Notamacropus eugenii: one gene and its partners. The protein of the gene in region 3 interacts with the protein of the main gene of each other region in a pairwise test. Links are inferred from orthologs where the notes say so. Each region holds a gene or a part of one and is shown on either strand. Other genes may lie near its edges. The genes, in order: GEM, TRIM42, KCTD9 and SYT6.

The links.
Region 1: the proteins of KCTD9 (region 3) and GEM interact in binary tests that used the Homo sapiens proteins (3 or more experiments, as listed by UniProt). The two-hybrid records come from large-scale screens. The link is inferred for Notamacropus eugenii from reciprocal best matches to the Homo sapiens genes KCTD9 and GEM.
Region 2: the proteins of KCTD9 (region 3) and TRIM42 interact in binary tests that used the Homo sapiens proteins (3 or more experiments, as listed by UniProt). The two-hybrid records come from large-scale screens. The link is inferred for Notamacropus eugenii from reciprocal best matches to the Homo sapiens genes KCTD9 and TRIM42.
Region 4: the proteins of KCTD9 (region 3) and SYT6 interact in binary tests that used the Homo sapiens proteins (3 or more experiments, as listed by UniProt). The two-hybrid records come from large-scale screens. The link is inferred for Notamacropus eugenii from reciprocal best matches to the Homo sapiens genes KCTD9 and SYT6.

The regions. Positions count from the first base shown.
Region 1 is NC_092875.1:158,863,700-158,871,322, reverse strand, and holds the start of GEM (GTP-binding protein GEM), read right to left. Parts: upstream 3,119-7,623; 5' UTR 2,474-3,118; exon of another isoform or gene 2,463-2,473; intron 873-2,462; 5' UTR 837-872; coding exon 774-836; intron 665-773; coding exon 325-664; intron 1-324. UniProt on the Homo sapiens protein: Could be a regulatory protein, possibly participating in receptor-mediated signal transduction at the plasma membrane. Has guanine nucleotide-binding activity but undetectable intrinsic GTPase activity.
Region 2 is NC_092876.1:325,567,230-325,574,924, reverse strand, and holds the start of TRIM42 (tripartite motif-containing protein 42), read left to right. Parts: upstream 1-4,527; 5' UTR 4,528-4,657; coding exon of another isoform or gene 4,658-4,787; coding exon 4,788-4,977; intron 4,978-7,695.
Region 3 is NC_092872.1:743,224,068-743,231,248, reverse strand, and holds the start of KCTD9 (BTB/POZ domain-containing protein KCTD9), read left to right. Parts: upstream 1-4,123; 5' UTR 4,124-4,196; coding exon 4,197-4,310; intron 4,311-7,181. UniProt on the Homo sapiens protein: Substrate-specific adapter of a BCR (BTB-CUL3-RBX1) E3 ubiquitin-protein ligase complex, which mediates the ubiquitination of target proteins, leading to their degradation by the proteasome.
Region 4 is NC_092873.1:293,290,166-293,298,133, reverse strand, and holds the start of SYT6 (synaptotagmin-6), read left to right. Parts: upstream 1-4,883; 5' UTR 4,884-5,463; intron 5,464-5,630; exon of another isoform or gene 5,631-5,708; intron 5,709-5,897; 5' UTR 5,898-6,263; coding exon 6,264-6,426; intron 6,427-7,113; exon of another isoform or gene 7,114-7,295; intron 7,296-7,968.

The DNA of each region.
Region 1 (7,623 bases), on a different chromosome or scaffold from region 3:
ACACAGTTATGGAAAGTGGAAATAGGATTCCATGTCCTTGGGTCTCACCACTAGACCTCACTTCTCTTTTTTGTTTAACCTTGGAATCCAAGCATTCCCATCTCTGGCCAAGATTCAGAAGATTTTGATCTTTGTCAATGGTTATTTTACTCTTTCTGGTCCACAGGGCTTGAACCAGAGACTTGTGACTTTTACATACCAGTTAGTGGCAAGAAGAATTATCTCAGTTCTAAACCCTACTGATAAGTAGCCCAGCTATTATGCTCTGCTTTAATGCTGATGTGGGCCTGTTGACTAGAGACAGTTCAACACTTAACTACCTACCTCCCAATACCTCACAGTCACTGTCCATGCTGTCAGTCACACCTGCAAAGATGTTGGCCAGGGTAGACTTGCCCACACCATGTTCCCCAATCAGCACCACTCGATAGTATGTATTTCCAGACTCAGAGGAAATGACTGAATCTGTGGAGTCAGATGACCAACTTCGCCGGTAATAGTCTTCTGGGTTCATGGAGTATCGGTTGCGGTTGTTGTATGAGTGGGGGTCTTTCTGGACCATCAGGTGCCTCCCATCGGCAGGGATGCTCCAGCGCTGCTGCTGTGCCTGCAGGGCCGTACTGCTTCGGCGCATGGTGACATTGTTCAGAGTCATTGTTGGTTCCTGGGGAGCAAACAGAACACCAGGATTATGTAGTTGGAGTTTCATCCATTTTTTTTTCATGAAATGAGAACTACAAATCCCCAAGAAACAAGGTACCAATGAAACAAACCTGAGCTCTGAGTGGTCCAAGTCTGAATTGCTCAGTCATACTCCTAGGAGTAGGATTTCTCATCTATTTCAGGCAGTGAAACAGCTCTAGGTGTCATTTCTAAGGGAAGGGAAAAGGCACCACGGATGGATCATAGAGGGATGAGTACTCCCCAGATAGGTCATACTTTTAGAATTAGAAAGTCATGTATTCTAAGTCACTGGTTTTACAGAAGAAGAAACTAAGGCACAGAGAAGTCAAGTGATTTTCAGAACCTCTGGCACCAAACCCAGTGCTCTCTCTACCATATTAAGCTGCTTCTTAGCTCCTGAGGGCTAATAATGAGTTGATCCTAAGGATGTCAAAGTCACAAACACACTAAAAAAAAAAAATCCTACTCCCTTTAAATCCACAAGTGAGGGATTCTGAGGAGCAGCAGACCAGGGACCAAGTTATCTTTCCAGCTCATTCTGCACTTAATTGCACTGACCTATCCATCAGCCTGCTTTGCCTTGGTTGGAAACCTACGGCAATGACATCATTGCCCTTCTGCTTGAGCAGTATATACATTGGAACTACCATGTTTAGTCACATTGCTTTGATGCTCTCCAGCTGCTGAGGCTATTATTTTAATGTTTCTCTCTGAGGTTTATGCCTCAACATTGCTGTCTGCTCACTGGCATGCCTTTAAAAAAAATACACCACCCTGATGATCACTATTCTGGCATTAAATGTGCATTCAGTTGCTTCCAAAACTATCAAACATGCCCATGCACATGGCTTTTCACTAAGTCCTGTTGAGATTTCTCATTAATTAAACGAAGTTTTTTAATCTTCTGGAAGCCTCAATCATAGAAAACAGATAGTGAAAAAAAAATGGCCCATTGGGCATCAGAAAGACATGAGGAAGTAATGGATGGTATTTGACTTGAATGACTTCAAATCTCTCTTCTCACACTTCCAAGCTGTGCGACCTTGGAGGAAGTCATTTCTCTGCTCTCGTCTGAATTTCCTCATCTGTAACAAGGGGGGTTGGATTGCCTGAGCTCTAAAATCCCTCCTTAACTATAAAATTTGTAGAATGATCAGCACTCTAACAAGTCCACTACAGCTTCTAGGCTACTGTATTGTAGCTCCCTTCCTCTTTCCTGGAGTTTTGTGAACTCAGATAGTACCTAGAGTGGAGCATTTACATTTTTTCCTCCGCAAAATTCATTCTCGGTAGCAAGAAATACATTGACCAAGAAGTCACTACAGGCGTTATCAGTCTCCAGACAAGCTGATCAAAGACATATAAGAACAGTAAGCCAAAGTGGCAGGGTTTTGTTTGGTTTTGCTTTGTTTTTGCTGGGAGGGGGAGAAACACAAGACATCATCACCATCCGTCTGCCCATCTGCCTTGAAAATTGGTACAAATTAATAGTATCATTCCCCTCTGTCCAAAAAAAGAATTGTCATTATCCTCATCTTAAGTTCTTTTCTCTTTTTTTGAACATTTCGAGCCTGGATCATAGACTCTAAGATCACTTTTCACTACTTAAAAAGTTCAGGTTGGCAGAGGAAGCCGCATTTACTACTCCCCGAGCCGCGTATCCCATGCATCCTCGTCCCATCCATCCGCACCCCTTCACTGCAGAGGGGGCTCTGGCCTCCGATAGATCCCCACGTTCCAGCTTAGCCTCCCAAGAGTGTTCATACATACACACTTACACACACGCTACCTGACTTTTCACAGTCCCTTCCAGTCAAGACAGCCGCGGGATCCTGGGGAATCTCTTCTTCACGCTGGAGCGAGCGAACGAACGAGCAAGCAAGTGAGCGCAGGCTGGTGCGCCGCTCTGCTGGAGTAAACTCCTCTCCTTCCCACTGGCTGACTCTCTCCAGCCGTTGCTCGGCTCCCCCAGGTTTATATTAAGCACATCTGATCAGGCAGGGCTTTTCCGTGACGTCACTGCCCTGGCCACAGAGCAGGCGGCCCCCCGCTGGGAGGAAACGGGTATGCAGAGAAGCCCAAAGTTGCAGACGCTCCCAACGAACACAAAATCAGTTACTTGCAGTCATATGATTTTTCTTCCCCCCTCCCTCTCCAAACCTCCACCCGCTTTTCCAGAGTGCCAGGGAAGCAGATCCTGTGACTTTTTTTTTTTTACAAGGTGAAAACAAGAAAATGGAAAAATACTCCAAGTGTCACTTAATCGTCTTTCCCGGCAATGTACTCGAGAGCTGCCCAGATGAAGGATACACAAAGGCTCGGGGCTGATTTGCAAAGTGGAGCTGGGGCTCCATTCATTCTGCTTTGTCACGACAGCATCGATCAGCCCTAGGTGCTGGAACATCCAGCCTCCGAATCATGAATCTGCAGCCACCTGGAGAAAGGGTGGGAGGAAGAGGGGGATGAGGGGGAAAGAGAAGGGAAACATTTATTTTAGCCGCATCTTCTGATGGAAGTAACAGCCTCGTGTCTCGTTTTACCCCCTCTTCGGCCCAAGAAAAAAAGAGTGGGGACAGCCGGGGAGCTATTCATGATTCTCTGCTCTTTCTGCGGAAAATGAGGAAAAGGGGGAGAAGGGGAGACACAGAGAGCTTCAAAGAGGACGGTTTAGGGAAGGAAACAATGAGATATCCAAACAGATTGTGGTAAATTCCCCTGACCCTCCCTACTTGCCTCTGCCCACCTTACTAGATGACAAACCCCCGAAATCAGTTGCAGGGCATTATAGCGTCAGGGCATTTGATCAGAACCTCAGTCATCATCATCGTCTCTGCAATAATCCCTAGACACATCAATCAGTACTTCAGGCGTGAGGCCAAAGCCATTAGCCAGGGGCAGGAATGACTTCTCCTTCAACCCAAGGCACCTAAGGGATTCCTTTGAATAGTGTGCATGTGATGTCAGTCCTAATCTACAGGCAAATGCACCTAAATTATCCCTTCTTAGAGGACACCTGAATTTCCCCAGATGCCCTATTGGGAGATGACTCAGGACATTTTCAATGTATCATTCTTTTCCTCTAGCTAACTTTGCTCCTGGCTTGGCCAATGAGTTGTAGAAGGAGCCAAAAGGCACTGCAGCTATCTCAGTAGCCAAGTTCAAATGTTCCTCCAATTTAAAGGAAACTACAGTCAATTTTTTTGGTTATCTGTGGGTGATTTATCTGCACTGTGGATTATCCTGAATGACTAGTTGCTGAAGAGAGAAGAGTTATTGAAACACCATTCAAATACATCTTTTCTTCTATCCAACCAGTCATACACATCTATTATAGACCACAGATTCTATTCCAACAGTCCCAAAAGTCCCAAAAGTCACAGAATGTCAGAATTTGGAAAGGACTTCAAGGAGGTATCTAATAGAACCCTGCTTGAGCAGCAATCTGCTGAACCACTTCCCTGGCAAGTGATCACACAGCTTCCACTGAAAGGTCTCCATCAATGAGAACCTCACCACCTTCTAAGGCAGCTTGGTCCACTTCTGAATAGTTCTGATTGAGGGGAGTCCTTCCTTACATGGAGCATAAACTTGCTTTTCTTCATTTTTCACCCAGTGCTACGAGTCGTGGCTCTGGGACTGAACAAAATAAATCTAATCCCTTTTCCATATGCTATTCCTCCAGATAATTTTAAGATATCTCTCAAGCTCCCTCCACAAAGACTTCTCCAGATCAATCAACAAGCATTTATTAAGCATCTACTCTGCATCAGACACCATGCTTGGGGCTGGGGATACAAGAGCAAATATGAAACAATATCTAACTCTCAAGAATCTTAGAAAATATTTTCCATTTCCTTCAACTAACATTTTTATGGCATGGTCTCCAGTTCCCCTCACTTTCTACTTGCCATTCTCTAGACATGCAACCAGACTATCAGTGTCCTTCCTAAAACGTGGCATGCCATAACAGGACACAATATTCCAGATGGTGTCTGATTAAGGCAGAGTACAACAGCAGAACTATCCCATCCTTCATTCTGCACACTATGCTTCTGTTAAGGCAGCTGAAAATCACATTTATTTTTTTGGCTGCCATGTCACACTCTTGACTCATATTGAGTTTGCAGTCACTAAAAGACAATAACTGATTACAGATAACAACTCTGCAGCTACCAGTTCTAACCCATGGACATGGAAAACATTCTTCTAGGCTTCTTTCTCTCACTCCAGACTTCCAATTGTTCTGATGTGGACATCTCCAGATAAATACTAGGTCTGTACCCCAAAGAGAACAAAGAAAAAGTGAAGGGACCTATGTGGACCAAAAAATATTTATAATGATTCTTTTTGTGAGGGCAAAGAATTAGAAATAGAGGGGCTACCCACCAGCTGGGGAATGACTGAACAAATCATGATAAATGATTGTGATGTTCAGTTGTGTCTGACTTCTTCTGACCCTATGGACCATAGCACACCAGATCCTTCTATCCTCCAATATCTCCCAAAGTCTGTCCAAGCTCATGTTCATTGATACTATCTCTCCATCTCATCCTCTGTTGTCCCCTTTTACTTCTTCCTTCAATCTTTTCCAAAACCACGGTCTTTTCCAATTAGTCCTGTCTCCTCATTATGTCACCAAAGTATTTAAGCTTCAGTTTTAGCATTTGTCCTTCCAATAAGCAGCCTGAATTAATTTAAGTGTTATCAGAAATGAAGAGAGATGGTTTCAGAAGAATCTGGGGAACTGATACAAAGTGAAGCAGGACCAGGAGAACATTGCTCATAGTAACAGCAATATTGTCATGATTATTACCTGTAAAAGACTTAGCTACTCTGATTGAGACAATGGAACCAAGACAATTCCAGAGAGTCCATGATTAAAAATACTATTCACCTCCAGAGAGAGAACTGATAAATTCTGAGTGCAGAGTGAAGGGTACTTTTTTCACTTTCTTTATTTTTCTTGCCTTTTATTTTTTTGGGGGGGGATAACTAACATGTAAATATGTTTTGCCTGACTTCATGTGTAAAATTGATATCATATTGCTTGCCTTTTCATTGGGTGGGAAAGGGGAAAAAGGGAGGAAGAGATTTGAAACTCAAAAGTTTTTCTCTCCAGTCATCCTGATGAATATCTGGCTCTGGGGGAGAAGTGAGGCTGGTGACCTGCACAGCCCTCCCTCACTCAAAACAAAGTCAAGTGCAAGTCATGTCATCATTTCTCTGATGGCATGGTCTTTGGCAACAAAGGACGAACACAACAACAGCAACAACAACAACAAAAACAAAAACAAATAAATAAATAAAGGGGGTAAAAGAAAAGCTAATTTGCATATATAAGTCGATAAGAAAACCATCTTCTATGATGAAATCATAAAGTTGGAAGAAGACATTAATGGTCATCTACTCCAACTTTCTGTGCAAAGCAAGTATCCCTTCATAAGTCCCTTCTTCATTAAGACCAATTCCCCATCCACACTTACCTCACCATGCCCCCATACCACAATCCACACACACACTCTTCTGCCAGGAGCAGAGAACACAGAAATATATACTTGTTAAGGGTTGTTCTTTGTGGGGGGTTTTTAAATTTCGCTTGTGAACTAGCTTCACCATCTTCACAGGTTTATTCACTAAAAAGAGAGGGAAAAGCCCCATTCATCTCATAAAGAATTCTTATTTGTGGAGTTTCAATTCAATCCAATTTGACATATTTTTATTGAGCATCTACAATGCTTTAAGGCACAATTCTAGACACAGCCTCCATCCTGATGGCTCCATAACATTCTAACAGAAAATTCCCCCTGTATAGTAATGGAGGTGGAGAAAGGAAGGGAGGGAAGACAGGAAGCAGAGTAAACCTGTGCTTCCCTCTGTAACCCTCCCCTCAAAGGCTCTGTCTTGATGCCAATGATCCGGCTACTCTTTGGGGGCCACTCACGTATCTTCCTCACTGCTCTGACCCACATGGAACTTGAGGGTTCACATTGCTGGCACCTCACCAATTCCCTCACTAGCATTTTGGCTCACAAAACTTCAGGAAATTTTATTTAGACAGTGAGGGGAAAAGAAAGGACTCCTATCTAAGCCCATAAAGAATCAAGAGCCCCTGCTCAGTTTCTTTTTGAGCAACACTTCCAATACACAGCCCAGGGACCCACCCAGCCCTTATGATTCACAGCATTATCCTCTCCTCTCAAGGACAAAATGGAAATTTCTGAAAGCCTTTCAGTTTGGCTCCTGTTTATCATTACAGACATTTCATATGAGTTGCCTTCACATAGTTGATATTCTAAAAAAACTAAACAAAAACAGCCTAATTGCTGTTCCCCATATGAAACATTCCATTTTCTAGCTCCATACCTTTATGTAGGTTGTTTTTCATGCCTACGATGTTCTCCCTCTCGGAATCCCTCACTCCCTTCAGGTTCATCTCTGGTGCTTTATGAGGTCTTTTCTGATCCCCCTTATTATTACTGTACTTCTACCCTGCAAAGAAATTAATGCATATATTTGCATACCTTTTGGGGGGGGAGAAGGACCAGCAACTAGAATTAAATGTCTTGTCCAGAATCATATTAGTAAGTATGTGAGGCTGGATTTGAACTCAGGACCTCCTGACTCCAGGGCCTCAACTCCATCCATTATGCCACCTAGCTGTTCCTGGTAGTTATTTTTCTATATCCCAGTCATATCCCTTCTCCCAGTGGAAAAGAAGATCCCTGAGGGCAAGGACAATTTTTTTTTGTCTTTGTAACTCCTGTGGGTACATAATAGTGTACTCATTTGTTGTTGTTGAGTTGTTTTAGTTGTGTCTGACTCTTTGTGACCCCATTTGGGGTTTTCTTGGCAAAGATATAGGAATGGTTTGCCATTTGGTTCTCCAGTTCATTTGATGGATGAAGAAGCTGAGGCAAACAGAGTTAAGTGATGTGCCCA
Region 2 (7,695 bases), on a different chromosome or scaffold from region 3:
AGTAACCTTCTGAGTGAAGGGGTAGGTATTGTATGCAATTTGGCTACTTGGTGCTGGCTTCCAAATTTATGTTTGTTTATGAGGGGAGGGCAGGGGAAGGGAGGGGAGGAAAGTGGAGGGAAGTGGAGGGAAGGGAAGGGAAGGGAAGGGAAGGGAAGGGAAGGGAAGGGAAGGGAAGGGAAAGGAAGGGAAGGGAAGGGAGAGAAGGAGACAGTAAAACTCAGTTCAACTGGGCAGCTTTTGGCCATCCAAATTTACCTTAGTTTGGAGAGGAGGTTAGGGGAGAGAGAGGCAGACAGGAGAGAAGGAGGTGAGGTACCCAGCTAGCATTCAGCCAGCTGCATCTACTCACAGGATCGTGTTAGTCCTTCATTGCTAAGAAGACCATACCATCAGAAAATGATGACATGACTTGCACTTGACTTTGTTTTGAGTGAGGGAGGGCTGTGCAGGTCACCAGCCCCACTTCTTTTCCACAGCCATGTCAGTCCAATGACCTGATGTTCTTCAGGATTACTGGAGATGGCCCAGGATGCACTGGGAGACCTTGGGCCGTTTTAGGCCAAGGTCTTTGCAGGCACTCACTTAGGGTGAGGCAATCCCCATTCATTGAATAGGCCTGTTTAAGAAGTAGCCAGGGCATGGCCCTTTTAATGAGGTCAAGAAAAATAAAGACATCAGGTTGGGTGGGAAACAGCAACAGTTACTACTGATAATGACTGTGAAGCTGGGGGGGCTCCAGAAGCCCTTGGCAAGGGCTCTTTGGAGTCCCAGTTTCAGGGTGTAGTAGGTTTAAGGTTTTGGGAGAAGACAGAGGAAGGGAAGGGAAGGGAAGAGAAGAGAAGGGAAGGGGGAGGGGAGGGGAAAGGGCAGAGGAGGGGGAAAGGAGAGGAGGAGAGGGGAGGGGAAGGAAGAGGAGGGGAGGGGAGGGGAGGGGAGGGGAAGGAAGAGGAGGGGAGGGGAGGGGAGGGGAAGGAAGAGGAGGGGAGGGGCGGGGAGGGGAGGGGAGGGGAGGGGAGGGGAAGGGAAGGGAAAGGAGGGGAAGGGAGGGAAGGAAGCAATAAAACCCAAGTCAACTGGGCAGCTTTTGGCCATCCAAATTTACCTTAGTTTGGAGAGGAGGTTAGGGGAGGGAGAGGCAGACAGGAGAGAAGGAGGTGAGGTGCCCAGCTAGCGTTCATTTGTTTTGAGTGAGGGAGGGCTGTGCAGGTCACCAACCTCACTTCTCCTCCAAAGCCATCTGAGTCCAGTGACCTGATGTTCCTCAGGATTACTAGAGATTGCCCAGGATGCACACAGAAAGAAACTTTGTGGCAAACTGTGCCAAGGTTCAGTACTTTTAAAAATTCTTGGAAAGCGCATTAACCTGGGCTAATCTTAAATATATTCGAATTGGGTCATGTATCTGAGAATCTCTCACAGAAGGGACTACTTGGCTGACCTCAGGTGAATATGCAATCAGGGCGTTTTAAAGGCTTTCAAATGCTGTACAACTTACAACCTAGACCTGGAATGTGCTAATAAGGGACCCTTCAGATGTCTGGAAAACAAAACGAAGCTCATTTCTTCCCTTTGTTTACACTGCCCGGAATGTGTGGGGCTCTCCCGGGTGGAGAGCACTTGACTCAGAATGGGATATGCGAAATGCAGATGCCAAATTAGGGACCTCTGAGGAAACCACTTCCAAAAAGGGCTATCTTAATTTGACCTATAGAGTGCAGTGAATAAAGAACTGAGATAGGAAATCTGTAGATCTGGGATCTCATTTTTGATTGGCTATTGGATAGCCTTGGACAAATAAGCTCACCTTTGAGGACCTCATTTCTTCAGCTGTAAAAAGACAATTGAACCAGTTGATCATCAAGATCCCTTGAAACTCTAGTTCCTAAAATTCTATAGTACATCTTTTAATAGGAAGTTAGGTTAGATAACCTTGCACATCCCTCCTAATTCTGGGATTCTATGAATTGAGGAGGCAGATCCCTTGCATTAAAGTCTTGGCCCAGTTGACTTTTTTTTTTTTTTTTTGGTATTTTACCATATTTTTATCTTTTTTTAAAGTTTATTTATTTTTAATGTTCCACAATCACTACCAAAAAGCTTATATTTTTACCCCCCGCCTACCCTCCACGACTCCCCTCCCTCCCCAAGATGCCATACAATTCTATATATGATGTACGTATACTTTCCTATTGAATATGTTTTCACTACAGTAATGCTATATAGATGAACTAAAATAAATGGAAGAAACCATATAAGAAATCAAAACATAATACACACACGCACACACATATATATACAAACAAGATCTGCTACATTCTACAAATGAATTCCATAGTTCTTTCTCTGAGTGTGGAAGGCGTTTTGCCTTAGAAAATCATTGGGAATTTTTTTTTTAAGTTCTTGAGTTATTATGAAGTTCCAAGTCTACCAGAAAAAACTCTCGCACGCTGTGGTCGTTGCTGTGCACAAATTTCTCCTGGTTCTGCTCCTTTCACTCAGCATCAGATCATATAAGTCTTTCCAGGCCTCTCTGGAGTCTTCTTGTTCCTCATTTCTTATGGCACAAAATTACTCCATTACATTCATACACCACAACTTATTCAGCCATTCCCCAACTGATGGGCATCCCCTTGATTTCCAGTTTTTGGCAACTACAAAGAGTGCTGCTATAAATATTTTTGTACATGTGGGACCCTTTCCTGAGAGACTTCTTGATTCTCCATACTTCTCATATCCTAGATTTTTCTTTGTTGCATTCATATCTCAATATCATCTCTACTTGCAGAAGCAAATATGCAGATAGAAGAATTACCCTGACAAAGATCTGCCTTGGATAGGTAGATCTGTGAATCTTTCCAGTTTTAAGCTTCTATGAGCCTCTTATTCTGAAAAGGATTTGACTATGCATCATACAAGTGATTTAGGTATCCCTTATACAAAAGAGAAAAATTCAATTTCAACAAATATGTATTAATCATTTTCAGACAATTGTAATGGGGTTGATGCAATATGGAAATGAAATAAAATTTTTGCCCCATGGAGTTTAGTAGGGGAATATGAATGAAGAATGTGCAAATGATTGTAACACATAGTGATGATACTTGAGAAGTGCACGCCAACTTGGTTTTCATGGGCGAAGGGAATGGGGAAGAGGGGTGATTATCATTATTGACTAATGAAATCAGGCATCGTTTAAAGCAGAAGAAACAAAAATATTAGCCCAGATCTTGAAAAGCTTTATTTAGAGTTTGTTTTACTCCATTATTACTTAAAAGAAGAGGAAAATCTGAAAAATGCACCTTTTGCTTAGCAGTTGTGATGTTCATACATTATAGACAAAAACTCATCAATTGACTGATGTTCATCAGGATCAGAAGTTCTACATGGAACGACACCAACATTTTTATCAATGTCAGTTCCACCCAAAGTGGAAACACTTGCAAAGCTTTCATTTTTGCCCGGATCAACAGATACAATGTGATGGTACGATTGATTCTGTGGTCCCGTCTATCTTACAGCTAAAAAAAAAAAAAATCATTCTTGGGTTTATAGTTGTAGTTGTTTTTTGCAAAGCCTTGTTAGTAACTCTGTTAGATCTTTTTGAAAGGGCTTGAAGTACCTACCAGGCCATTCCCTCTAGGCTCATGTTGCTGATATTGGGGTTTCCCAGTTACCCATACCTCAGCCTCTCTGGTGGAAGTTTTGGCTCAATAGTTTAACTTGTATTTCTATAGAAAAAGAACAATTAGAGATTCCTTATGTTTTCAATTCATATGGTCTTAGATTCAGAGATGCCATTCTAGTAAAGAGATTCTTAACCTAGGGTCCCTCAACTGCTCCAAGTGTCCCTAGATAGATTTGAGGGGTTCATGAACTTGGAACTTTTAATATTTTGACAACTATCTCAATATAAGTTGTTTTCTTTTATAATCCTATGCATTTTTTCATGAATTTAAAAACATAATTATGAGATAGGCTTCACCAGATTGCCAAAGGAATCCATGAAACAAAAAGGGTTAAGAACCCCTAATCTAGTCCAGCCTCTTCATTTTATAGAAGAGAAAACTGAAGCCCAGGAAACTGAAATGACTTGCTGGTTGCAAGGAGCCAGGATTTGAACCTAGGACCTCAAATTCTAAATTCAACTCTCTTTTCTGCTGAGAGCACAGTTATGGGGAAGCCTAGGCCTTCAGTCCACTAAGTCATAGCCCAGGAAACCCTGTATGGCATCCCCAGATGGTTTACCTGAAGCACAGGCCTAAGTCTGACAAGGAATTAAGCAATCCAAAGCCTAGCCTTCTCAGCTTACATACTACATGGTGACAGCAAAAGATCACCAGTCATTTTATTCACTTCAATCCCACAGACTGGCTGATTGTCCATGGAGAATGTGCCTACAGGCACCTGCAGCCCCACAGTGTGGTGAATTAAAGAGGGGAAAGAGGGATTATGACATAAACAATGAACTCAGTCTTACCTATGAAAATGCCCATCTGTCCCTTGGCATCCTAGTTGTAACAAACAGGTCATGGACTTGAGGAAACCAAGCAGCTGGTCTTTTTAGAGATAGAGTGTGCTATCAAATAGACCTTGGGACTCTGGAAGAGGGTAACATTATGAACCACATGTAGAAGGCAGGGATTTTATAGGAGTCATGGATGAATCAATGTGCCTCTTTTCTCCATGCTGTCCATGGGAGCATATCTTACCCAAGTCACGCATGTGCCTATGCATGAAGTTTCTTCTCACTACAGAAAGGAACTGCACCTGTTGCCCCTGCCCATATGAAGATGATGGGGTATGCCAGTTCTGTCACTGTACCTGTTCAGATGCTCCCAACTGCCACTGGTGCTGCTGCTCCTGCGCCAATGACCCCATCTTCAAGTGCTGCTGTATTTGTCCACCAGGCGCATCTACCTGTCACTGCTATGAGGCCCGCTGCTGCTACAGAGGACCTTTCCCTACTGACTCCCCGTAAGTACTCTAGGAACCCATGCCCAGACTGATGCCCATCATAACCTGCTGAGGCCAACTTCATTTTAGTCAATTCTGCCAGGATTTGTTTAATAAACAACTTCCCTAACAAAGCAGAGACCATCATGACTTCCTTCCCCCCAGCCTCTTGGGAATCATGACCCTTCCTTTCTGTATCACTCACTGGCTAGTGCATGACTTTTCCAGGTCTATCCTCATCCTTCAAGGCCCAGTTCTGATTCCTTCCCCTCTTGGCAGTCTCCCTAGACTATCCAAGTCTACACTGTTCTCTCCTTCAGGAGATACTAAGACTTTAAGTTAACAAAGACCTTAAAGGTTACCTAGTCCAAACTTCTCATTTTACATATGGGGAAATTGAGGCCCAGAAAGATTTAACTGTCTAAGCCTACACTGTTCTCTCCTTTAGGAGATACTCAAGTCTTTCAAGTTAGAAAAAACTTTTAAGGTTACCTAGTTCCAAGCCTTTCATTTTACATACGGGAAACTGATGCCCAGGAAAATTAAAGTGGTTTGTCCAAGGTCATGAAAAGTAGTAAATAGTAAGCAGTAGAGTAGACAATCAAACCCAGGCCCTCTGACTCTAAATCTACCTTTGAAAATGTTGAACCACTCTAGTATACTGCTCATTTCATAGGATCATCAAACTTAGAGGTGAAAGGGACCTTAAAGGTCAAGTTATTTCATCTCATCTTACAGATGAGGAAATTCAGACCCAGAGAAGTTACTATGCTTGCCAAGGTAACACAGTAGTCAGCTAGTCAAGACTTGAACTCAGGATCTCTGATTTCAAAAACTTTGGCATTTTGTCTAATCCTACCAGTGGTTATCAGTAATGCATGCTTTCATCTTGTAATGTTATTTGGGGGTTTTTTTTTGTATATTTATATTTTGTCTCTCCAGCTAGAATACAGGCTACTGGACAGCAAGCATGATGCCTTTGATTTCTTGGTATTCCTTACAGCACATTCCTAGATAATGTCTAGTATGCCAGAAGTACTCAATTAAATAGTGGTTTTAAATTATTTTTATTTAAAATTAATTTGAAAATTTTTTAATCTGAAAATTTAATCTATCCTACTTTGTGATGTCTAAAAAAAAACATTAGGCTAAACAACATTGCTGGGAGTAGTTAGTGCCACAGGAACAATGTTAAAATGTTTTAGAGATAGATTCCTGGTTGACCAAAATTTAAATTACAAAAGATTAAAAAAGTTCTTAGAGACATAAAACTCTAGATGTAGGATAAAAAGCCCTGGACAGATGATCTGGGTTTGAGTTACAATTTACGACACTTACTGACCTCGATCAAGATACCTCTCTGTGTTCCAGTTCCTTCATCTTTAAAACTAAGTTTGAACGAGATAAATCCTAAGGTGCTATTATGTTCATCTTCACAACTGTATTACTGACTCAACTTCCCCACCACTTCCCTCTTCCCCACCCCTTGTGTGATTCTCACCTAGGTGATATCTCACCTACATGGAGGTGATCCTTCACCTTTATACCTGTCACTGTCATGTTCACTTTTCAAGTCTCTGTACCTCACACAACTTTATACCTTTTCATTCCTCCATCCACAATACTAGGAAATGGAGTCAACACCATTCATCTCAATGAGGAGAAACCAGTAATTCTGTATATCTACCCTTTTTTCCTCATCCTAGCTAGAAACTTGAAAAGGACAGGTTTTCACAGGAAAGGAAGAAAGAGCACAGAAGACTACCCCCGTTCTGACTGATTCATTGATGCAATCTCTTGGGCCCACCTGGAAACTATTTTCTGAATGACCGTTAAAGACACTGTTGGGCTACTATACACAGGGTGTGTATGGGGAGTTGTGTCTTAAAGGATTGATCCTAAAACCTAACAGCAGAGTTTCTTACATTAGAGTAGGATTTTATTTTTAATATATTAAGAATACTGAGGAGCAACTTTCACTGGGGAACATTATGGGATATGTGTCTAATTGTGTTAAGTGCATAAATCTCTAAATTGCAAGCTGCTTGGTCTTTTCCACCTAGTCCAACATTTTGGACTATTAAGTACTCAATGAATTTTTAAGGCTCTCCAAACATTCATCTTTGCAGATGACCCTGTGCCAAAAATATCACAGGGCCTTCTCAGTGAGACTTCATGGACATTTTTAAAAGAAATTAACACACACAGGAGAAAGAAGAACAAATGTCCTAATTAAGGCATGTAGTTGGATGGGCAACCCTATTGGATTAGTATATCAGTACCTATATCTCATGAAGGCACTCCATGCAGATGAACAATAAACCAGCTTAACTGAATGGGGCAAGCTAGGTGGTATGATAGAGTGCCAGGACTCAAGTCAGGAAGACTCATCTTCCTAAGTTCAAATCTGACCTCAGACACTTAGTAGCTATGTGACCTTGGGCAAGTCACTTAATCATTTCTGTTTGTCCCAGTTCATCTGTAAAATGAACTGGAGAAGGAAATGGCAAACTACTCCAGTATCTTTGCCAAGAAAACCCCCAAATGGGGCCATGAAGTGTCAGACACAACTAAAAATAACTTAACACACAATGGAATGAGAGGAGACGAGATGGAATATATTGCATGTGGGTAACTTCATAGTACTTTCAGGTTGCTACCTGCTGCTAAAACCCATCTTATTTAATACCAGTACAATATTCTTCTGGTGATGACCAATTATGTTGTAAGCTCTGGCAG
Region 3 (7,181 bases):
CGCAGCCCCTTCATTTTACAGGTCGGGAAACTGAGGCTAACATAGGATCGTGGGAGTAGCGCAGGAAGGGGCCGTAGAGATCGCCTAGTCTAATAATCCCTTCATTTACAGATGAGGAAACTGAGGCGGGGGAGGGGAAGGGACTTGGCAAGGTCAAGGTAATATAAATAGGATCCTACTGATAAGGTTGGGGTGTTGTGCCCGAAAGTACTCACACCCCCAGGTCCTGCTAGAATGAGTTCGACTCCAGACTTCTTAAAACCAAAGTTTATTAAAGATTCGCCACCTTGGGTTGCCTCTTAAGGAGCCTAAGCATTTGTAACGCTTGCACTCACCAGGGGGCCGGATAGAATCTCAGCTAGACGAAGTCTGAGCTGGATGGAATCTGAGTGCCTTCATGGAGGCGAGATGGAATTTATATACAGAAAGTCCGTGGGAAAGATCTAGAGGGGGTCTAGGGGTCTCCTAGGAGGGTCTAAGGAGGATCTTGATGGGATTGGGGTAACTAATGTTGTGATCCAGGGTGGGAAACAGCTGGAAGCCAATTCTGGATGGGATGTAGGTGGGGCTATCGAGAGGTAACCGACAATGGAAGGCCAGGCTAGGCCTAGGGCAACAGATTTGAGTATGAAAGGCCAGATTAAGTGGGAAGATTCAGGGGGAGTTCAAGGAAGTTCCCAGAGTCTGAACCTCATCTTTAGGATTGTAGATGTAAGACTGGAAGGGGTCTGACTCCATGTAGCCCACCCCTCTCATTTTATAGATGAGGAAACTGAGACTCATGGAGATGAAAACTAGCTTACCCAACAAATATAAACTTCTGGCAATTAAAAACCCTTCCCAACATAGCTAGTTTTCCAGGCATATTACATAGAAGTCCTTTTCACCTGTTCCATGGTTCCTGCTCTGTCCCTCTTAGGATCTTAGATGTAGAGCTCAAAGGGACTCATCTAGTGAAAGGGTAAAGTTTAATCATCCTCCCCTCCCCCCCCTTTCCCAATTTGGTAGGTAAGGACACAGATCCAGGCAGGTTAAGTACTATCTCCCCTTCTCATTACTCCACTTCTCATCTGTGCCTTTGCCTTGACCACCCTCCACATCCAAAATGCCCTCCCTCCTCACCTCTTAGAAACTCTCTTCCTTTAAGACTTTGCTCCAGGGCCGCCAGTTCTGTCTTGACTTTTCCTTACTCCTCCAGCCTCCTCCTCCAAAATCACCTTGTCTGTTTTGTATGTTACTGTGTTTTGGATATTTGCATACACATATATGTCTATACACATAGTATCTTCCCTCTCCTGTAATTTAGAGAGTTGTCTGGGGCCTTGGGAGATTAAAGACTTCTGGGATGGTTGATACTTTGGGCCTGACTGGTGATACAAAGACAAAAAATGGAAACCTCTCTGCACTTACAGAGCTTCTTTTCCTCTGTGGAAACAATGAATCCACTTTTAAGCATTTACAAAGTAAGGGAAAAGTCTTGGGGGAGGGGGAGGTGGGCGTGTCTCGGGGAAGAGAGGCCTATATATGTTTGCATTCCCTGGAGAGGCTTCTATTTCTTGGTGTCATATTTGAGATAAAGAGGGCCAGAGAGAGATAAGTACTGTAGTTTGGCCAGGATCCTTGGACTCTCGTCCTCTCGATTCCCAGGCAGGTAGTCCTCTCTTTCTACGGAGCAACCACCTGGCTCCTCTTGATTCCCAAGTTCAGTGCCTGAGTGGCCTGAGTTTATTTGGATGGAGTATGACAGGATCTCAGGTCCAGACCCAGACACTGCTTAGTTGCAAATCACTGGAAAGATTTCTGGTTTTGGAGTCAAATGGGTTAAATCCTGCCTCTGCCACTACTTTGTTTTTCTTTAGTCATTAGTCTCTTCTTGACCCCACTTGGAGTTTTCCTGGCAAAGATACTGGAGTGCTTTGCTACTTCCTTCTCCAGCTCATTTTACAGATGAGGAAACTGAGGCAAACAGGGCCAAGTGACTTGCCCTGTGGTAAATGTGTGAGACTGAATTTGAACTCAGGTCCTCCTGACTCCAGGCCCAGTGTTTTATCCACTGCACAACTGAGCTGGTTTTGGCATATCACTGTCATCTGAAAATGTATGGGTTTGGACCTCAATGACCTTCTAAGGCTCCTAGATTCGTGAGCCTCACCTCAATCATTTCACCATTCATGTTCCTGCTCTGTAAAACACTGATATTATGTGCACTGAGAAGGGATAGTAGAGGCTAGGGCCCTCAGCTTGAGAAAGATTTCCACTTCAGTTTCTTCAGATAATGTCTGTTTTCTGGGCTAGTCACTAAAGCGCCCTGTGCCCCCTGAGAACTGTCTACGGTAGCTAATCTGCCTTGGGGGATGGAATTTTCTCCTATTGTATTCCCTACAGCCACAAAATCTCTGGCCTGAACCTGGGAAATCCACCTACCTTTGAAGCAACTCTCAAAATTTTGCAAGCCCTATGCAAATGTGAACTGGGTTGAGTGTCATCCTGTGCCTGAGGGTTACAACAGGGAGTATAACTTTCTGGCTGGAAGGTAGGGGGAGGGGGAGCACGTCTAGATGAATGTACTGCGATCCAGATGCTGCATGCTCACAAACACCTTGGGCGCATTGTGCTGTTATATCTCCATTTTACAGGTGGGAAAACTGAAGTAGAGAGAGGTGAAGTAACTTCCCAGCATCACACAGCTAGTAAACTACCAAGACCAGATTTGGATTTAGTTCTTGCTGACTCCAGGTCCAGAGTTCCATGCACTGTGTGGCCAGCTGCCTTCCCAGGATATTGGGTGTTGTCTAATTCACATTTTGCTTTTACACGCTGGGAGAACTGAGAGGTGAAGTGACTTGCTTAGGGTCACACCTGTAGTTCCAGTTGCAGAGCTAGGATGCTGAGCCCCAATCCAGTATTCTTTCCAGATTATTATTGGCAAAGGCAGTGGAGGCCCAGGGCATTCTCAGAAAGAGAATCTGGCTGTGAGCTTCCAAATAGAGGAAAGCCTCAGGACCATAGGATGTGGATGCAGTGGGAAGAGTCCTTATTGATCTTCTAGGGTTAGGGTTTCCATATTTATCTGTCACTAAACTGCCAAGCTGGCCAGAGTTTGGCTTGGTTTGTCAGTAGCTGAGGGGGTATCATTACTGATGAGATAGAGGTCTCTTTGGGTCTGGCTTGGGGCCCACAGCATGAAGCAACAGGGAGGGCAGAGAGCCACAAGCTGTTTGGGACGCAAGGTCTGAATCACTGTTGTTGGTAGACTCTTCTTAAGATTTTTCTTTAGCTCCCTCCCCTAACAAACCAAAGTTAATGTGATTCTTTTATAGTTTTTTTTGTCGTTAGATTTTTTAAAAACTTGGAGTGTGTGTAAGTTCAATTCAACCTAAAATCAGATCGCAGCCCCTGGCATTTCTTAAATTCCTTATAGATTCTGCTATTCTACTGAGGCCCAGGGGGATACCAAGAGAGGCTAAAGACCATCCTGCCCTCTAGGGGCTCACTTTCTAATGCTGGAGACGATATGTAAATATCTAGGTTTATCCTAGAGTCAATGCAGAGTAGATAAACATAATGCCAAAGACTGGCACAGGACGGCTCAGCATGGTGGGCCCACATCAGAAAGGGTGCTGTGCTCTATGAGCAAAACAGAGTTTAGACAGCACAAAGGAAATGTAAGATGCCCAAATTTGTGGTATTCACCCCAAATGACATGGACTGTCTGTGCCTAATATGTAGTAATTCTGAGCTCGTATTGGTTTGATCAACTGCAGTAGGACACACTGAAATTTGACTTAATCATAGTGATGTCATTTTTGTCCTCTTTGAGAACGAAGGACAACAACCAACCAAGCATCTGGGTTTATCCTGGAGTCGATGCAGAGTAGATAAAGGTAACACCAAAGACTGGAAAAGGCCTCCTGCTTCAAGTGGGTTTTGAGCCAGTCCTGAAGGAAGCATTCCAAGCTGGGGCACAGCCCGTGCAAAGGCTCTGAGTTGGGAGATGGAGCATATGAAGAATTGCAGCAAGGCTCCTGTAGCTGGATTGTCAAGTGCTTAGAGAGGATTGAGGAGCCAGGAACCGCCAGAGTTCATGGCCGGAGATGAGGCCTGACCTGTGATTGGTGGAAGGCTAGACTGGAGTGGGCAGAGATGAGGCACAGAGATTGGTTAGAGTGCTGTTGCTGTGGGCCTGGCTGCAGGTGATGAGGACCTTCACCTGGGGGAAGGAGACACAGCAGGGATGTTGTAAAGAGGAGGTTTTTACTGACAAGACTGGGCACATTATTGAAACCAAACGTTTGAGTCAGACACAGTATGTAAGTATCACCGTGAAGCTTAAATCCTGTTGGAGGGAAGAGGGCTGGGGGTGTGGGGGAAGAAATCTTTGGCTTGTTTGGTTGTCATCTTCTCCCCAATTAACTGTTTGTGCCCCTTGTCAAGGTGTGACATCTAACATTTATTTTTCCCCCAAACCTCTACTATCCATCGCTAGAAACTGTTGGTCTTTGGGAGGAATATTTGTTTAATAATACATTTGTTAGGTCCCTGAATGGCAGAAAGGAGAAACTGGATTATTAGACGTTGTCCATGTATGGCCAGGAAACATTTCTAAAACCAGGGGTGTTTTACACCTGGTTAACAGATTGATTTAGAACCATCCTTTGTAGGGGAAATGCATTCAGCATTTGAACCACAACTTGTTTCATTGACTATAAAGCTGTTTTGCTTCCTCCTTGAGCTGATATTACTATCTAGTGTAATTCAAAGACCAGGATTATGGGTTTTAATGAAAGTTCTTTGATTTTCATAAATATTAAACCTACACATAGTTAAAAAGTTAAGTTCTCTCTTTGAACCTGACTTTTCTTTTTGTCCACATAAGTCAATCTTTTTCAGTGTTCAAATTTACCTTCATGTTGCTGTTTCCAAATACAAGTATAAAACCAAACTAACAATGAGGTGGGTTTTTTTTTTCAAGGTCATTGTTCATCATTTCCTAGAGTATGGGAATGAAATGTCTCGTTGAAGACAATTCTGTGCCACTTTCATTTGGCCTAAAGTTTTCATCCTCTTTGACCTTCTTTTTGCAGATGCCTTTTCCTATTATTCAAAATATAGAACTATTGTATTGTCACTGGAAAAAAATGACTTAGTACATCCAGAACCACAAAACATTTTTGTCCCTAGAAACAGGCCTCAGATCAACCTTTTACTTATCTAACATCTCTGGTATGTTACTGCTGGTGAAATGCCAACTGGCTAGGCAAAATCCAAGGCCTGATCGTGGAGACTTTAACTATATTCTTCATTTCCGTGGAATCACAGAGGTTTTGTTTGTTTGTTTTTAAGTTTTTAAATGCCAAAATTGAGGCATTGTCTGCATATATTTGTTCAAGGGTGTTGATTTTCTTTTAAAAGGTCATGAAGCTTTGGAGATTTTGGATTAAGAATAAAAACTTATTTAATTTTTTTCACTTTTTCAGAGAATTTTAGGAAAGTAATTAGCATTTCTCAAGTTTTGTAGTAGAATATTTCCAGATGTGGCTAAATTTATTCCAGAGGGATTACGCTAGTAAAAGGTGGAGACAATTGATATTGCAACAGAGCCTCAGAAATAAATCACACTACAAACCTTAAGTAACCTTTTTGTGTAAAATACCTTAAGATTTCTTCTATCAGAAAAACTATTTTTGAAAAATTTTCTTTTCATTTAAAAAATAGTTAGCAATATGGAAATGTTTTATATGACTGCACATGTATAATCTATATTAAACTGCTTGCCTTCTCAAGGAAGGGGAAGGGCAAGAATTTGGAACTCAAAATTTTAAAAAATCAATGTAAAAATATTTTGCTACATGTAACTAAAAATATATATAAATTAAATGAAAAAAAAAGAGAAATGATTGGCAAATGAAAGTTACAGGTTCTTTTTTTTTTTTAATGAGACCAAAAACTACCTAGCTTTGTTTTGTAGATCCGGGTGACATTTGTGTGAGCATGTTTTTGGTCCAGCGAAGAACTCTATCTCCCTCCCCCCCCCCCAGCCTTTCGCTCATCCTAACTCAAAGGTGAAACCATCTTTTTAGTCACCCTGACTCAAATCTGAGGTGTCATCCTTGACTCTTTACTTTCATTTCCTATATCCAGTCTATTGCCAAGTGCTGTCAGTATTATATACTTCCCCCTTGTCTCCTCTACTACTTGCCCCCACCCTGGTACAGCCCTCATCACACCTCACATCTCATCTATCTGGTTGGTCTCACTTTTTCAAATCTCCCCACATGAATCCCTGCTCCACTCACCTGTGATCTTCCTAAAACTCAGGTCTGACCATGTCACTGCCCTACATGATAAACTTCTGTGACTCCTCTCACCTTCACGATCAAATATAAAACCAGTCCTTTATAACCTGATCCTCTCCAACCTTTCTAGTCATTTTACACCTTACACCTTGACGTGGGCCCTTTAATCCAATGACTGTCTCTTCGTGGCGCTTCCATGAACAATCCATCTCTTGGCTCTGGGCATTCTCATGGAAGGGGAGGGCTGGACTGCCCTCCTTCCTCATCTCCTCCTCCTAACTCCTTTCCAGCTAAAATCCCACCCTCAGAAAGTCTCCCCTTGATGCCAGTGCCTTCCCTTTGTTGCTTACCTTCAGTTTGTCCTAGATTTATCTTGTTTGTGCAGTTATTGGCATGTTCCGAGCTTCTCTAGGGCAAGGAATGACTTCTGCCTTTCTTTGTATCCCCAGCTCTTAGCACAATGCAAGCTTGGCACATAGTGGGCATTTTATAAGTGTTTATTGACTGACCTATGATTTTATTTGTGTGTGGAACTCCCCTTTTGGAAACTCCACCCACTGGTGCAGATTGACCACTTTGGGGTGACTCACAGCTTTAAAAACGTTACATGGGGCATTGAAAAATTTGCCCATGGCTATCTAGCCTGTGTGCATCAGAAGTAGATTTGAATCCAACTCTCTGCCTCCAAGACTGCCACTCTGTGGTGCCTCTAGATATTTAAATATTGCTTTACAATCACTTTACATACTGTGACTTGTGATCCTCTGTGGATTCCTGTGAAGTAATAGTGTGCATTTTATCCCTATTTGACTTAGGAGGAGACTGAAAATTCAGAGGTTAACCAGGCCGTGTGCCATTTATCATTCTGTCACACAGCCCTGAATG
Region 4 (7,968 bases), on a different chromosome or scaffold from region 3:
AGAAGATGTCATTTGACTCTCTTGTATTCAAATGCATGCTGTTTCTATGACCTTTATGGTATAAATAAAACTGTTCTATATTTTGAAGCTTGTGTGTCTAAGTACTTGTAAGGGAAACTCATGACCACACTTATTGAAGTTCTCAAGTTCTATCATTTTGTAAAAACTATTAGGTGTACATATATGTTTATATTTATTTACATATATATTTATAAATAAATTTGTAATGTGCATATACTTACGTTTATAAATATAACATATTTATCATATCAGATATAACATGTTATATTATTACTTGATATATCAAATAAAATATTATGTTATTTATATATCTATATCTATCAATGTCTATGCTTGTATTTATTACACACACACACACACACACACACACACACACACACACACACACATACATATATAAATCTCAAAAGTGTACCCAGGGCCTGTGAGTCAAAAAAGAGCCTCTGAAACTAGCGCTATATTATACTCTTCTAGTTTGCTCATTTATTTATTTGATACATGTCAACTCCCCAGATCAGTAATTCATTTCGAGTTCTAAGTGACAAAAGTCACATATTCTATTTCTTCCAGTCCCTGAGATAAGGTCCTACGTAACAGATGTGCTAAATCAATGTTTTTGGCTGACTATTCCACAGTCCCTTTGCCCATCTCAAAGTCAGTGGATTTTGGAACTCAAGGAGCTTACGTCTCATGCAAAGGAAGTTTGGGGATTGGGTGGTGAGAAGTCATTTGTTCTTCACCCTTGAACAATCAGGGAAGATTGACTGGCTAGACAGATTTGCTCTTTCCAGGGGATCCAGCTCTCCTTTACCTCCAAGGTCCATTAGGCCACCAATCAGAAGCCTGCTTCATCAGAACTGCCTAAATTCTGCTGAAATCAAAGATTAAGACTTCCTCAGTTTGACAGGGCCTTTCCAGATTTGTCACTTTAATTAGCTCTGGCATTTTATCTGGTTTATTTTCATTAGCAGAGCAGCCAGAGTCCTGACATTGCAAACTCTCTCCCTGCTCCTTAGGGAAAATTCCAGTCTTTGAGGCCTTGTTGTTACAAGAATCTCATCTTGGCCCTTTCCAGGAAACTGGTTACATTGACTATGTGAAGCAGCCCAGAAATACCTGCCCCAACTCCTGACTCTACCCTCTTGGACTTCAGTCCAACAGGAGAAGACTCATTCAAGAACAAGGTCACCAACTGTCCACTTTCTCTGAACTGCAGGACCATGGCTGCAAGGACCCCCTTGGATCTGGCTACCAGCCTTCTTTCACATGAATGGTGCCATCCATCACTGAGATTAAGAGAGGTTATGTAATATATTGGAAAGAATACAGGATTCAGAGGCAGAAGATCTGTGTTTGAGTGTTGGCACTTACAAAGTGTACTTTGAGAATCCTAAAGTCTATATTTAAGCCCTGACTTGGCCAGTTCCTACCTTTGCCTCATCGGACTAATCACTTCCCCCTTCTTAGCTTCCATTTGCTTATCTGTAAATGGGAATATTGACCTCTCTCAGTCTCAGTTTTCTAACCTATAAGGTAGGGATAATAATTTCTTTCACTATCTGCCACATAGGGATATTATGAGAATCTCATGAGAAAATATATATAAAGTGATTTGGAATCATAAAATATTATATAGATGTGAGTTCTTAAAGAAAACTCAAATAAACAAATCAACCCAAATCAAGGGAATAGACAGGGTCAAGGCCAGCCACAGGCAAGACCATGATGTATGTAAAATTTGTCTTCTGATCCTTTCTCATTGTTCCCTGAGGAAGGCTCTGGATCTCCAGGCTGTAGCTGGCCTGGCAAGAAACCAAAACCTCAGAGGATTCAGATCTCATCTGAAATGAGAGGCAAATGTGATTAAGTGTGGGTTGAGAACTGGGGACCCTTCATGGAAGGGAGCCAGAGCTAGATTCCCCAGGCTAACTCTGTGACCTTCTAAGAATCCTTTGTACTTTATCTAGAGGTGAGAGGGGTCCCTGAAAACCCCACTTTGAAGCCTGGATTATGGGGATTTGTTAAGTCTGTTTTGTAGAGGGCATTGGATGGGGCTGGCATAGAGAAAAGATATTCTTTCAAGCAGAGTTGAGAACCTCCACCTGTGCCCTGAGAGCTATATGCTGATTTTAGGGCTCAAATGTTGAAACATAATAGAAAAGGACACCAAAACCATTTCTACTGCCATTAATAACATGTACAGACTTGAATCTGCCACCATTAAGAGCCCATTTCCCACTACCACATGTTTTCTCAAAGGAAAAAAAAAAAAGCCTTGGCAGAAGTGACCTCCAGGTGACTGGAATGTGTGACACCACAAGGGTATAGGGGTGGATGGGGGCCTAAAAGCTACACAGGGCAAGTCAAGACTTCCCTTTGGTTCAGGTTAGAGCACTGTAATTCAACGGTGTGTGTATATGCTTGTGTATGTGCGTGCATGAATGCATGCATGCGTGCGTGTGTGTGTGTGTGTTAGACAATCCCAGGTACCAACATCAGACTGTTTCTTTTAACTCTGTGCTGGGGGCTTAGAGGGGAGAGAGGGAGGGGGGTAAGGGCTCCCTATTTATAAATCACATTGAGAGAGAAAGACAATATGACACATCAGCTCATGTCAAAGAAACTGTTCTTCCCACCCACCACAGCAGCGATTATCTACCTGGGCTCCATTTGAAAAAATATATATTATTTTATTTTGGCAAAACTTAACAGGATAATACAGGATGGTTCTGTGCCCAGCAGGATGTCAGGGAATCACCCCCAGGGCCTGGGATTAAAGGTGGGGGAGGAGAGGGAAAGAGCTCTGCACTTTGGGCTCCCCTCTCCCCCATGGTGGGACACAGTGACCTGAGCCTTTAGAGGTTCTGCTGATTTCCCAGAAGTATGTCTGAGCTGGTTTGACTTTTCAGTATCTGCTCTGTGAGAATCTGAGGCTCAGAAAGGTTCACCCACAAGAGATTGTGAACAATTTACAGATTAGTTGAGAGAGAGAAAGAAAACAGGCACAAGGAGAGCAGTGCTCCCAGCTCTGAGATATCCATTCTGCTGCTTCTAGACCAGTGTAAGTAACTATTAAGTAGCCTTCAATCTCCCCTTACCCCTTTATCTTTCTATTCCTTTTCCCCTCCTCCCATCCCATCTCCCAATTCTCCCAGAGTAGGTGGGTGTGGGTCAGGGGACAAGCAACTCCATCCCTGCCCCACCCCACTCCCAAGACTCTACTAAGTCACCGATTGATTTTAATCTGTCTCAGTGAAAGGTTGACACACTGGAAGGTCCGTATGCTGACAAAAATCACAGTTTCTTTCACAATCCATGCGATCTGGTCATCCTGACAAAATTATGGTTACTGTAGTCACAGACTTTTAAAATGTGCTCAGGAATTATCTCACAAACTCTCTGTTTCTGTTTCAGAGATCTTTGCCTGTCTCCATCTCTTTATCACACACACACAAACACACACACACACACACACACACACACACATATCCCAAATTCAATAGCTATTGACATGACCACAGGAGCATCAGAGCTTTGAGTCTTCCTACAGCAGTGTCAGGGCAAATGTTTTTTCCCATTTAAGCTGAGAATTACCAGGTCCTGGCTGCTGCTGTGACCGCAGGAGACACTGCAGGTCCCAGCTGCCTGGTGTGGGGGATGAATCCAGGAACAATGAAAAATTTTCTCTTAATTCTCTGCTCTCTGTGGCTCCTGCCGCCTTCTCTGCTCCAAAAAGGCTCCTTAGCCTTCTGTTTAGATGCAAATTCCCTGACTAGTTGTAAGCAAAATATTGATTTCCCTGCATCACAGGCCTTGGCTGTTGGTGTGGTCCTGTGTTGTTTCACTCTCTGGAAAAACAAAACAAGAGCTTTGTTCTTCCAATTTCCCCTGTAACTGGGGAAGGGGAGGAGAAATCTGAGAATAGTAGCATTGCTATAAACACGAGCTGAACTACTCTCTATGGCTATTTTACATAAATACATAAATACTGATACTCCATTCCTGAAGAAGCTAATGAGCAGTTTGCTGGGATGGGGGTGGGGGGGAGAGTAGGGAAGATAGACCTCGGTGAGCATCTGAATCCTTGTCTCTGGATTGCTAGCATTTGGAAGTGGAGGAGATACAAATAAGCTCTCTTAACACCTTAGTTGGGCCTTAGAGACATGGGTCACACTCCCAGATATCGAACACACACACACACACACACACACACACACACACACACACACGGCCTTGTCTGACTTTAAACAGTAAAATGCCACCAGATCTCCCCTCCAGGAAAGAAGACTTCCCTGATTTCAGGGTATGTTAGAGTTGACTATCTTCCTGCAGCATAATCTCCTTTCTTTAGTTTCTCAATTCCCTCCGCATCCTTCCTCACCCTCCAACACCCCCCCACCCCACGCAGCCACTGTCACCCATACCTAAGGACCAAGGCAGAAAGGTAGTCCCTTCCCAATTATCACGTACCTAGCTAGTCAAATCACATTATGAACTCAACTCCATGCTGTTCTGAGACACACACACACACACAGAGAGAAAGAGAGCGAGAGAGCGAGAGAGCGAGAGAGAGAGAGAGAGAGAGAGAGAGAGAGAGAGAGAGAGAGAGAGAGAGAGAGAGAGATCATCAGCACCTTGGACAGAGGTGGGGCCCCAATGGGATGAGGACCAAGAAACCTTAAAAGCTAGATGAAGCCTTTTTCTCTGGTCCTTGCAACCCAACTATTTCCCCCTAGGATGGGACTGCATAGCCAGCTGGGAAATGGGGGACTCTGATGGGGGGGGGGTGGGGGAAAGTCAGAGGAGAGCTACATTTCAAAAGGGTCTGCCTGGGGTGGGGGGTGGGGTGGGGGATGAAGGGGTTCACAGATGGCGCGTGCTGTTGTTACCGCCAAAAGCCCTCGCCGAGAATCTCAAAGCTCCGGAACGTGAGTCACAGCCCGAGCCACTTCCAATTAGTGTGTTAATTAGAAGTAAAGACCCTCCTCCCACAACCAGCCCGGGAACAAGCCAACCCGTGGCTTCCGGAGGCTACCGCCAAAGAATGACTTTCAACCGCTAAGAAAGGAAGTGAAGACCATGGCTAAAATGCCAGGCACAGGACCTCGCTTCCACTCCGAGAAAATGGATCGTACTCTGTTGAAGAAGAGATTCGCACCGTCTCATCCATGCCCCTGTCTCTGAACAAAGTAGCTCCTCCCCTAACCCACACCGTCAGGCAGCCGCAGAGTAGATCTCTCCAGAGCTGAGAGATTTATCTCCAGAAAGAGGGGAAGGGGTTAGATGGATGGAAACGTCCTAGATTCGTTCAACTGGTGCTTAATCTCTCACTTCACTGTGTGGGGAAGTTCTTCGTTTTGTCTAACCTCAAGCCCTACCGTAATATTTTCGGTCTGTTTCCATCTTTATGGTGAAGCTTCCCGAAGATACGTGGGAAATGAGGTGCGATTCGATCCTGAGGGAGGGGGACGGACTTGAAAAAGGACGACCCGGTGAAGTGTCGTCTCTTCCCGCCCCCCCCCCCCCCCCCGGCCCATTTCTCCTGAAACTTTTCCCTCTCGTTGCCATGGAGAGAGACAGCCGATGCCTTCTGTCGCCATGGCAACGAGTGGGTGACGCGACCAGCGGATTGCGGGGTTCTAAAAGCCCCTGAACCCCAGTCCCTCTCCTCGCTCCACAGTCCTGGGGTGAGGATAGATTTCCCTCTTATTAAAAAAAAATACTGCAAGTTTAACCAACTTCCTTCGCCCAGCGGCCCGAACCCCTCCCTCAATTCTGTTCTTTTTGAGACCTGGGAGCCTTGGGTTCCTAAGATATGCCCTTAGGATCCTACTAGTCCTGGACTTAATCACCCTTTATTTTTTTTACTTCTTTAGCCTCCAAGGCATCAATCAGTCTCTCCCTCTTTCCAACCCACTCCCCAATGACACAGTACTCCGACCAGGACCAGACCAGACACTGAAACGTAAAGAGGGTGCTGACGAGCGGGAACTGAATTTCTCTGTGGTGTCTGTATCTCACTAAGGGGCGGAGACCCCGTAGACAAGTGGTTAAAAGCCTAGACTGGCAAATGCAAGTGCGGTGACTCGCCTGGGGCTGTTTGGGGGAGGGTCTTCTTGCGGACCCGCCCTGTCCCGCCCCAGCCCGACAGCAGCTGGGGACCTGGAACGGCTGCAGGGAGCTGGGCGGGACGGGACTAAAGCCACAGTGCACTGAACAGGGAAGGGGGGAGGGTCCGGGGCATGAGCAGGGTGGGGGGGTCCGAGGAGGCGAGGTGCCAGGCGGCGCTGGGAATCCTGGCCTCGCTATGTCAGGGGCAGCCGCCCCCCCAGGGTCTGGACTTGGAGACTTGTCGGAGTTTCGAGCTGCAGCCCCCTGAGCGGAGTCCGAGTTCTGCAGATACAGGTAACTGGGCGATCCTTCGCCCTCCCCTACTTTCCCTGCCACAACCCCTCTTCCTAATGCGGAGATTCTTTTTCTCATACCTTCCCTCCCCTAAGAGCAAAGATTAGATTGAAGAGGAAGGAGCAGACATTTCTTTCCATCCATTCCCTTAGTGCCATGCTCTGGATTCGGATCTTGCCAGTGTCAGAAAAAAGGGTGCTGAGGAGTGGGGCTGGTGGGAGGGGGGGTGTTGTTTTTTTCCCCTCAGAGTGCGACTCGGAAAGCTCCTAGTGTAGAGCTAGACTCTTCGGTTTAGTTCGGGGACCCTCTGCAACTCGGGAACAGCGCTCCAATGTGCCTCAGTTTCTTCTCTCTGAAGGATGGGGAGATTCTGTTCCCACAAAGAGAAGGCAAAATACCCAGGGAAAGGTCAGAAGAAGAGATGACAGACCTCCCCAGCTGCAGAGAGCTTTGTGTCTCTGTCTCTGTTTCTACATCTCTGTCTCCCGGGAGGTGCAACTGCCCCCACCCCCACCCCGGACGGTAGCTAGAAACTTGCGTTGACTCTGTGCCTCCATCGCGGGTTTTGGTGTACCAGTGCCTTTTTCTGGCTCGGTCTATTTCTCCGTCCCCGCGGGGGGGTGGGGGGGGCGGGGGAAAAGGAGGGGGAAGGGTGTCTCCGCGTCCCCGTCCCACCCCCTACCACCACCACCTCTATAACTCGCTCGCGCTCTCTCCGTGACTCACTCGGACTCGGGGCCGGTGCGGGGACTGAGCCGGTTCCTCTCTGACTTTCGGAACCCGGCGCCTTAGTTCCAGTAGCCCCCAGGATCCGACACCCAGAGCCGGCCCCAGAGAGGCTGCGGAGCCAAAGCGGGAACCCGAGCCGGGTGAGTCCCGAGCCCGGAGCCCCTACGCTGGGGCCCGGCGGCGGCCGCAGTGGCTCGGCGGAGTCGCGACAGTGGGCTATGGGCAAGCTAGTCACCGTGGGGGACTTTGTGGTGCCAGAGCCTGGAGGGGGAAGTACTGGGTCTAGAGTAGGAGGGGGCGTTTACCTGGGTTTCTGAGGACCTGATGAGCTTCCTGCAGTACCCCCCCCCCCCCATCTCGCAGCCCTTGGTCTGCAGATGTTGATTCTTTGTCCAGATTCCAACATCTGGTGGGGTGGCAGCACAGCGGGATATAAGACTTAAGGTGGGGGTACTCGAAGGGAGCGAGGAGATTCGAGGTCGGCCCTTCCACACCTGCGAGTAGCCGAGATTCTCAGTGGGGAACTGGGGTTGGCTCGGAGGGGGTGTCGGGAAATTCTACAGAGATGAAAGGAAGACTGGGGGTCTATCTCAGCTCCCTAAGCCCCACTTCCCTCTCCTAAGTCCCTGGAGGAATGGGGGTCATTGTAGAGCAATGGGGGAAAGCTCTCAAGGCCTCACCAGTGTGTCTGTCTACACGGTGCTAGTAGATAGGTGCAAGCCAGGGAGTGAGACAGGGGTAAGAGAGAGAAGCTGAAATTAAAATCCCAGGCTCCCCCCTTCCCCATCCCTCACCCTTGAATATACTGAAGCT